Linked DNA regions of Drosophila melanogaster. The protein of the gene in region 1 interacts with the protein of each later gene in a biochemical or structural test. Each region holds a gene or a part of one and is shown on either strand. Other genes may lie near its edges.

Region 1 (5,254 bases):
AATTTCAAACAAGGCAAGATTGTAATACAAAATGAAAAGCCGATTGGAAATTTAAAAGCATTCATGATCTTAAGTTATCAATTTTTTCAAGTACATATATCTAGCTTGAATAAAAATGACACTATCTATCGATATAATTAGCATATTTCTCAATATTTCATCTTCAAGTGCTTATTACGGGTCAGAATAAATTATATTAACTAGTCACTGTGCACAAGGAAGTTATCTTAATTACGTGGAAAATTCGAATTAAATTATTTATTAAATAGAATTACCAGAAGAACCCCTATATAAGGAATCGCTCCGCAATGCCGCACAACTTTTTGTCATCTTTTATGGGCCATTGTTTTCCCATTTCGCTAGCCCCGTGGCTTCTTCTAATCTAATTTCGGCAAATCAAATGAAACAACGGGAAGCTCAGCCCCCAGTTTCATCCTCCGCAATTTCAAAGAACGACAATTTCCTTGCCTCCACTCCCCCAGCTGATCCAGAACTACTAAAACAATTTGCCAGCAGCTATTTCGCGTCTTGGGATCCGCTTACGAGGACAATTATCCATGTGTGTGTTGCCAAGTGCGCATAAGATTTTTCACCCGGTACCCGAATAAATAAGGAAACGAGGAGTTGGAGATACTTATCCTGTTAATCTGGCAGAACAACAGGAGAACATAATGCACTGAAAGGATGTCGCTGTTTTCCTAGTTTTACGAGGCATGATTTAAGGTTTAAATACAAAAGTGCATTTAGGAAGAAATGTAAAAACTGCATTTTCCTGATTTGATACCTTTGCAAAGAGAGGGATCTGGTTTAACACTAGGGAATATCAAATCCTAAAGTGTATTCCACCCGTTCATAGGACTCCATCCCCAGTTAACTGTGTGTTAGAGTGTGCGACGTGAATGCGTTAAATTAAATCAAAAATGTATGAAAGTCACACGCACACGCAAGGAGTGAGGGAAACCCCCCAGCTGTACTTACGTATCCCAAAGCCGAGAGCTGGAAGGACCAAAAGGACGAAGCTGATGCGTAGCCAAGACGCTAGTGGGGATGTATGGAAAAATCGGCGACACCACGGCGCTCCTACTCCTGCTCGTTCTGCTCGTCCTGCCACTGTCATCTCGGTTGTCAACGTGGCTGGCCTGGTCCTGGTTCTGCTGATTCCGGTTCTTCGACTGGTGCTGCTCCAGCTACTGCTGCTCTTCTGGCTCCAGTCCTGCGTGGCAGTCCCAGTGGCCCAGTTCCTGGCTGCAATGACACTTACAGCGCCTTTTGTGCGCTCATTGTCCGCCTGCCTCCAATTGGGACTCGTTTGCGGCATCGAATCTGGCTTCTCGTGCTCCTTAGGACCAAGACCAGGGCGAGGGCCAGGACCAGGACAGACAGGATCTGCTGATTGCACTGCGCCGTCTTGGCTGGCAAACTTTGTCGCATTCTCTGCTCCGTTCTCGAAATCCCAGTCGAAGTCTCAGATAAATAGGTTTATTGAATTAATACACTTGGGGCTGGCTTGGGTCCTGGCTTGCCTCCATTTGGGTTCTATCTAACCTCTATACTGTTTCATTTTATTTTATTTTATTTCATTTGATTTTATTTCTAGCTTTCGACAAAAAATTGCAATTCTTCTTTATGGGTCGGCCACAAGTTTTTCGATGCGTTTTCTCAAGCGATTTTCGTGCAAACCCATTGTTGGCTTACTCGGTCTCTGCACTTGGTTTTGCACAATTTTTGTGTTGCTTGATTTATATATTTATTTAAGTGTTTTCGCCTTTGTTGAGTGGCAAACTTTTATTGGCGATGCAGTGGCACCAGCATAGACAAATAAACTGGCATCGGAACTCGACTTTATTCCATGGTAATCCAATTTGTTTATTTAGCTTTTTGGTCTCTTCCAAAACTTATTTTGTTGAACAGCACAAATCCGTTTAATCCCTAATAACTACATTTACCTAAAATGTTGTTTGCATACGATTTTATTGTGATTGTAAAAGTGGTTTTGGGATACCATATAATTGAGTATTAAAAGCACGTGAAGAAAAATACGTATTTAAAACAAGAATAAAATATAACCTTACCATTAAAAATGGTATTTCTTTAAAAACTAATCTGAACAGAGTTAACACTTCTGCATGGTAACAAAACTTTTGAAAACATATTTCTACATCTTGAAGTTTTACTTCAACAGCTCAATCAATGGAAAAGTCAAGTGCTCGAACTTGCCAAGAAATATAAATCAACTTATTTCCACTTAAACTTTCATAATCGTTTTGCAATTAATTACATAGAATTTCCTTTTTCTTGGTTCCCGGCTCACTTTCTTAAAAGTTAATAACTTGCACGGCTTTCATGCAGAACTATCACACAATGTTCTCGATGACTAATGGCCAAAACTTTTCGCACAAAAAAAAACCTTAAAAACTTCGACCATTTATAGTGTTTAACAAGTTTCACATTGCCTTTCGATGGGCTTTCTTTGAGTTTTAGGTCGGTGGCAAAAGGTAACAATGGCCATATGGCCGGGCTCTAAACGAATTGTGTGCAGCTTGGGTGGCTTATATTTAATGATTTAACACGTGAGAAAACATTTACACTTCAGTAACAATTTATCGCATAATCCGACTTGAGAATATTTTTTATTTCGCCCTCCTTGGCATTATTCTTGCTGCCCAAAATGATGCACAATAATCCCTTTTTTACGTTACGCGTCCTTGGAGAAATCCTCTGTTTTCTTCGGTCCTGTTTTTGTTCCTCGGCTTCGCAATTCAGCGCGGCATTCTAATATCCATTTGCATAAGGCGGGAGCAAACAAATTTTAAAAGTGATTTCGGCAAAAGACACTCGACAGGCGGCACTGCAGGACACGGGACACAGGACACCCAAGAGGACATCAAGTGGTTTAACTTTGTCTTAATTCTTCTTTTCTTTCTTTGCCACTTTCCATTAACTTTTTTCTTCGTTTCTGTTGTCACATTTTGTTTTCCTAACTCCCGCCTCTTCAGCACAAGTCCCTTTCAGACATAAACGCGTAAAATTGACTTCTGGTTGCGGTTTCGTTTGCGGTCTGGGTTTCCTTCCACCATCCGAGTCACGTCCGCGCGAACCGGATTCAAATTTTCGACTGAGTCGCGTTCGAGCGACGCCATCCCACTTCCCATCGAGTTCTTAACATTCCGAGGCGGATAGTGCCGATTCATAGCCATTCCGTCGAGCGTTCCACATCGGATTCTCCTCTGTTTCATGTGGCATACCGGTTCGTTTCCAACTTCCCCAGCTTTGTGCCGTTCACATCCCTCTGGTTGCACTGAATTTTCGGAATCGAACCGTCGGGTTATTTGCCGGCTGTTTGTTCGCGCCTGCGCGCTAATACTGCTTTGGCAACAGAAGATTGAAGATTTATTTTTTATTCCGCGGATGCCATTTGTAGATGACCAACAAAACACTTGTTTCCGCCGGACAAATGCCTATTTTAGTCGCACATGAATATCAATTGGTTCGCTCGACGCCACCAAAAATCGACCATGATGTAAAATATGAATTGACGCCTCTTAAAAATGGTATAAAGATTGATACATGGAATATATAAATCTCGTAGCTATTCAATTTTAAAATGAAAGAGTTTAAGAGTTAGCAGTTTGTAACCGACCTAAAATATAATATATATTTTAAGCAGTTAATTTCTATTCCCTCTTAAACCGAGTGTTAGCTTTATTTTGACATTAATCTAAGCTGAAATATACTCATCCGTTCTTCAGCACTTTTCTCTAAGGTTAAAGTCACGAGGCAACCAACAAATAATTGGAGTCGTGCAAATGGTGACCCCGTAAATCACGGTGGTGACCGCGTTGGCATTCGGTCACTAAATTAGCTCGGTGTCTGTTGAAAAATCATCGCCTTTAGTGGCCGGAATTTACTGCCCCGGCGAAGACATATCTGTGGTCTCGGGTATTGTGCGACAATATGCCATTATGTAGAATGGAGTGGGCCAATATGCGCGGCTTGATGAACGACGGCCTAGGACTAAGTATAATCTCGTGTGCTTTGTTGTCAAAGAGCAAGTAACAAATAAATATTATTGAACTTTTAAGTCCCCAGGGGGCGGTGGCCTACAGGCAATTGACGCCCCAGTGCGATAACAGAGCCAGCGGGCAGATAGGGTGCTGAATATCCTCACACAGGACCAACATAAATTCCTGCTCAGTTCAATTTATTGTGTATTGACACAGCTTACGGAGAAACAAATAAAAATGTTTTCGAAAGTGCGGGTGCGCTTGGTGCCAAAGTCCATCCCCCCATCCCCCCCTGCGCTGCGTAAAGAACTCCTCCCAAAGGCTCCAGGAATGCGGACGAGTTCCCCTCGGCTACTTTTGCCGCCCTTCCATTGGTCCTTGAAGTCAGGGACCTCGTTGGCATCCATTGTTATTACCTCTTTGTTGTGTTTACACGCCATTTGTGGTATTTCACTCACTTCCACTTCCATGTGGCTCACCTCGTCTCGCCCGCAGCAAAAGATCCTGCGGCGGAAGGTGTCGGGCGGGATGCGGGCCAAAGGCTAAGGGGCTGGCTGGCTGTCGTAAAAGTATATTTGAAATGCAAATGCCGGCGGGCCTTAAAATGCTCAACTTCTGGCTCACAAAATAATCAAAATATACTTTATGTCGCCTTTGAGCCAGTGAAAACAGTGAACAGTTGCGCCAGTTATCGAAGCCAAAAGCCAGGCAACAAAAACCAAAAGCTGCTAAAAGCCCATCAATCGAGTTGTGAAATAAAACAAAAGATCAAAATTGTAGTATGCAGTAAAGCGACTGCATAGTACTCTTAAAAATATATAATATTACACAAGCGACTTCTGGCACATATAATTTTCCATTTCTATCCATTAAGAAACTGTAAATCTTATTTAAAACATAGATTCTAGCAACAATTGCTTTTTTATAACAAAAAAAATATTTTGGGCCCTTAACAAGGCTAAATTTATCAAAAACTTTAAATAAATATTAATTATTCAGTACATTTTTGATGGTCCGTCGGAATTGCTCTTCCCAAAGACCTCAAACAGAAAGTTGATGGCTTTGTATTAGCTAAACATTGCTCAGCTGTTAATTTTAGCACTTTTTATAAAGGTCGTAAATAAATTAATATTTTTTGTTGGAGGCAATCGCATCTGGGCTAAATTTAAGCAAACATCATTTCTCTTGGGACAGGAACTTGAACTACAAAAATTGGTTTGCTCATTTTGGGGAGTGACTCTCGAGTCGCA
Region 2 (5,074 bases), about 17 Mb from region 1:
AATCAATTAAAATAACTTATCAAAACTGAAGCGAGTAAAGAAACCCCCCCCCCCTACATAGCATTCCCATCGCGGACTAACAATCAGCTAATCTGTCTTACATATTTCCATATCGCCTCGGCTTCAGCATGGATTACGATGGTTATTCATTAGACGCATTCCTGGACGCCCTTGGCCAACAACTGGGACGCTTGCTGCGGTTTGCCGCAGGACTTTCGTCCTTCTTCTTGCTACCCCTGCCCCAGACAACTCAACTATTACCTCTCTCTTTCTGAGCCATAACTAGGCAAACCTTTTTTGCTCAGTGTGTGTGCGGAACGGCAGAGGAAAAACAAACGTCCGACTGCCGGGAAAATCTGTATAAGTGTGTGTGTGTGTGTGTGTGTGAAGTAAAAAAGCGCAACCGGAGAGGAGACGGATGGACAGCAGGAGGAAGAGAGAGGGGCGTTGGGCGATGGCAGGGCTGGAAGCGGAAAGCCGGAGAGTAAGAAAAACCATAACTAAATCCATTGCCATAGGAAAATCCAAAGCAAAGTCTGCGATGCAAATAGTAGAGATTATGGGACTGCAGATGTATGAAGAACGAGATGGAGCTGAATGTGAAACCCAAGGCGCGGCTGAGAAGGACCCAAAAGGGATCCAGGGAGGACGGAGGACGAAGGTCCCCGGCAGAAGGTGTTATGTGTACGTGTGTACGAGTGTATGAGGCACAATAAATCTTGCAAGGGTGCCGAATGGCCGGGCAAGGGGCCGGAGGCCTCAGGTCCTGAGTCCTGGATCCTGAATCCTGGGCATTGGCATGGATCTGAGACGGGACTTTGGCCTCCATTCTCTACGTCCCTGCTCCTCCTGGGCAGACCCACTGCCACCCAGTGCGCGCACGCCCCGTCAGTGAAAACCAAAACCAAATAAAACTGACATTATGCGAAAAGCGAAAGCCATAACTAAAAGTTGGATAACGTGGCCATGATGGAGCCGAAGTGGAGTGGGCAAGAAATCCGGAGCTGAAACAGCCGTAAAGTTGATACTAAACCAAAGAGCAGAGCTGGCAAAGCTAAAACAAATCGGAGATGCTATTGTCACGAGCTCTGGACGCGCAGGTGCCCTCATTTTAGTGATAGTGTGTAAAATAAATTATAGAAAATTATTGAAAAAATACTACTACTACAGAGTTACCAAACTAGTAAAGCAACCAACGATTTTTTCCGAAATCGGGTCAAGAATTAAAACTATTCCTTGCAATTTACATCAAATGCTAACAAGACTTTCTGGAAATGACTAGTAGTTTTATTTGGCAGTGTCATTAAACTGAGTTTTTCAGCTGTGCGAAAGTTCTTGTCTTCAGGTCTTAAAATATCGTTAAATTTTAATTTTTAAAGCAAACTTCTTTTGCCTAACTAAAATTGTTATAAGATATAGTTGGATTTAAACATTGGTGCCATTTTTATTTTGCAATTTTCAATTAATTGGTACTTAATTAGTACTCCAAGTACCTTATGAATATTACATTTTGCAATTGCTTAAAAAAATGTTAAAAGCATTTCCCGACCATTCGAAATGACATTAGGATATCATTCTAATTGCTGCCCCGGATAAACTTGATTCACTCCAACAGGTTTCAATTTGAACATCCTAGAAGCTCCTTATTGGATCATTAAATCAAGAGCGACTGAGCTGACCTAAAAAACTGAGAGGGCTTAAATGCTGCTAAGCGAACTGAGTTTGTTCCTTAATCGCCATCAGGACCAGCCAGAACCTCCCAGGACCACCCAAAAGGTAAATCCACGGCCCTGAGCTCGCGAATCCAAGCCACCTCGGGAGTGCACCACAATGGATTTGCCACAGCCCAACTCCATGGCACGAGCTGAATATTCTCCGATTTTACCCTTTCTGGGCGCTGGGCGCAAAATGTTGGTGGGGATACAGATATCGGGTATGAAAAACAGAAACAGGAAAATAGAAATGATAGCAAAGTTGCAAAGCGATGCGGTGCGGGCGGGCGGTCTGAAGGGGTTGCTGAAACGGAAATCGACTTTGGTAAGGAGTTTTTCTCGTACCTGTGAATCGGAATCTGAACGCTGGAGCTGCACCGAAGTTATGCAAATGTAAAGTTGTTCGTGCCTGCTCCTGGCTGCTGAATCCTGCCGCAGGATCTGGCACCTCCTTCTGCTCCTGCCGCTGCTCCAACTCCCGCTGTCAATCGAAGGCGATGTCGCGAGTGCTAATGACGTTTGCTTTGATTGCGCCCCGCATGCGAATCCAAATCTGAGCCACAACTCACAACTGTCATTTTCGCAAGGATACTCGCATATGTACGTATGTGCGATGAGTATGTAGAATAGGATGGGTTCTTGAGTGTCTATCTCAGCTGGTACTCGCAGCTCAGCTCAGCTCCTCACCGGAACTCTATTTATTTAATTTGCATGCAATTTTCAATTTTTATGCGGAATACTTGGCATTGACAGCAAACGATGCGCACATTTCGCATCGGCAATGCACAATAGAAATTGAATTGCAAAAATTTGTTTGCCCGTCCAGGGCAGCAGGCAAATGGATTGCGAACACAGTGGAATAGCGGATTTTGAGGGCTCTTCACGTCTTCACGCCAATGTCACAAGGAGCCGCATTCAAGGAGCCAGCGCGAGAGCTGAACGAGTCGAAGAAATCGCACAATTTGGCGGCGAAGATGTCAAGTATACGCCGCGTTGCCAGTGCCACACTGACTGCAATTACAATGGTGGCCAACAACAAAGACGGTATGCCGGTACGCCACACACACAGACACACAGAGGCATACACGGGCACATACGACACACGGAGTTGAAGCCACAAATACGTACGCTCCGCTCCGCAGGATCCGGAGGAGAAGTCTGAGGCGAAGACAGGCGACAGATCCTGGTATTGCCCCGTCGACAGTGTGCGAAATAAATGCACGCGCACACACACGTTCACGAAAAAATCCCGCGAAATTTGGCGACAAAAACCAAAACAAAACAACAACTTCGTGCGCTTGGGATCACGATGAATGTTCGATGCGAAATGCACAAATGCAGCTGCTCTCCACCACCGAACGCTCCGAAACTGAATTCGCAACTGAGCCAGCATGAAAAAGGATGCTGCCATCTGGAGCCGAAACGGCTGGACGCACGAAGGATGCCGACGAGCGGCACGATGACGCGGATGCTTCGGATGCTGGCTCGCAGAGCTTTTTTGGCGAGAGAGCGAGAGGAACTGGCATTGGCGACGTGTGACTTCGTTAAATTTCTGCGGCGACAGCACACAAAACGGATTCGGAAGCGGAAGTAGCAAGTAAGCGAGCAAGGAGCGCTCTGTGGCCATGTCTGGGTGTGTGTGTGTGTGTGTGTGTGGGTGTGCCTCTGTGTGTGTGTGTGGATGGGCGCGCTGAGTGGGTGGAGTGGCGCTGAAGTGGGCGAAGTAGCGCCAAGTGGCTGGCTAAAGTCGACTCGCGGAGCACGACCAGAATGGAAGTTTTGTGTTTGTGTTTTGCAATGCCAACTAAACACACATTCAGCTCCATACACACACACATATGTATGTCTATACATATATTATAAGTCAAACATACCTACGCCGTGGCATCAATATTCACATTCGCACTTGTGCGAGTATTTTCTGATTTGCTGCAATCGCGTTTGCCAACAACGAACTTGGCTAACAACAACAGCTGCCGGAGTCACAGTCGCAATCGTAGTGGGGTATTTTCCAGCGGATGTTTGGTAAATCTTTGGCGCCGGATACCAGCGCTGTCTTCCCCGGAGTCGCAATCCCGCCCCCTTAGATCACCACCCCTCGCGGGACACGCTTATACTCTTTTCATATCTTTCTTGCTCTTACACATGAAGGAACTTTGAAAAAACAATGTAAAAGTATACAAATTTATATGAAAACCTTTATTTAAAATTTTTTACTAAAAAAGGCATTTCATTTATTATCTCATATGCAAGGTATTTCAGTTTAAATATTACATTCATTTTATTTGAAAATATTCTTTTAATAATAGCGTTCATCATTATTCCTATAAAAAAAATTGTATTTTGTAAAAACTTGGACATTTTGCTCAGTGTACTAGCTTACACCCAGGGGTATGTATGTGTTGGTATCGATAACTAATAAAAGCATTACATTTATGTTAGAGTCAAGCGCCGTGGCCCCTTATTTTCCCCCCACTTCTGTTTCGTCCTGAGCAATAATTCAGTTTCCATTTCTCTGTTTTCTTCAGTTTCTCATTTTCATTTTGCAGCCAGTGCATGTGTGCCTCGGCACTCCTCTCACCCTCTCCGTTTTCCCAACACTTTTGCCACAGTCATGGCCAACTAATTGGAAACAGTAGCCAGCTGCGCTTTCTTGGCCCATTTTGTTGCTGCAGCGGCTTGGAGAGCTGGATCCTGGTGTCTCGTTTAGTTGCCAATTGCTTAGTTGATTTTCATTGTCTGCCCTTTGGGCCACACTCACAGGTGGCTAACAGGGCGATGGTATGGGTGGAAAATGTAGGGGTTTTTCCGCTGTATTGGCTTGTAAGTGAAACGATAAACGCTGTAGCTCGCTGTCATTAATTGGCTGCCGGTTGATGTTTATGTCGTTAGCTCTTCGTTACTGCAAAGAGGGAAAAGCGGATGGGACGTTTAATAATCTCATCGCATTCAGCTGGGTTTTCACTGATTTTCCTGATCTTCTTCAGCCGCTTTTAGCTTGATATTCAATTAACTTTTGCAGGACAAATCTAGGCGGGATCTGTTAGGGACAGCCAGGCAGAATGTTAATTAATAACGTTTATGCTCGTATCTGAGTATCTGTGTATCTGGGCATCTGGGTATCTGGTTACTGCACACTGGTTACTGGGGTATCTGGCTGATCTGGTGCTGTGCTAATGCTTAGGCCGGGCCAAAAGAACTATTCTCCATTTCCTCGCCTCAAACGGCTTCCGTCTGATCCTGAGAGCCATGTCTTCGTCTGCAGCCGTTCGTCCTTCGAGCTGTTTTTGTCAGGCTGCTGCTTCTGTTGCTGCTGCTGCGTTCACCTGCCAGCGAGGGCGAAAAGAAAATATCCGGTTTTC

Evidence for each region.
Region 2: the proteins of dpr17 (region 1) and DIP-gamma form a complex in vitro, tested with the Drosophila melanogaster proteins (one study listed by BioGRID).

The regions. Positions count from the first base shown.
Region 1 is NT_033777.3:12,092,741-12,097,994, reverse strand, and holds the start of dpr17 (defective proboscis extension response 17), read right to left. Parts: upstream 3,120-5,254; 5' UTR 2,695-3,119; intron 2,366-2,694; exon of another isoform or gene 1,947-2,365; 5' UTR 1,319-1,946; coding exon 979-1,318; intron 1-978.
Region 2 is NT_033777.3:28,967,274-28,972,347, forward strand, and holds the start of DIP-gamma (Dpr-interacting protein gamma), read right to left. Parts: upstream 3,100-5,074; 5' UTR 2,058-3,099; intron 1-2,057.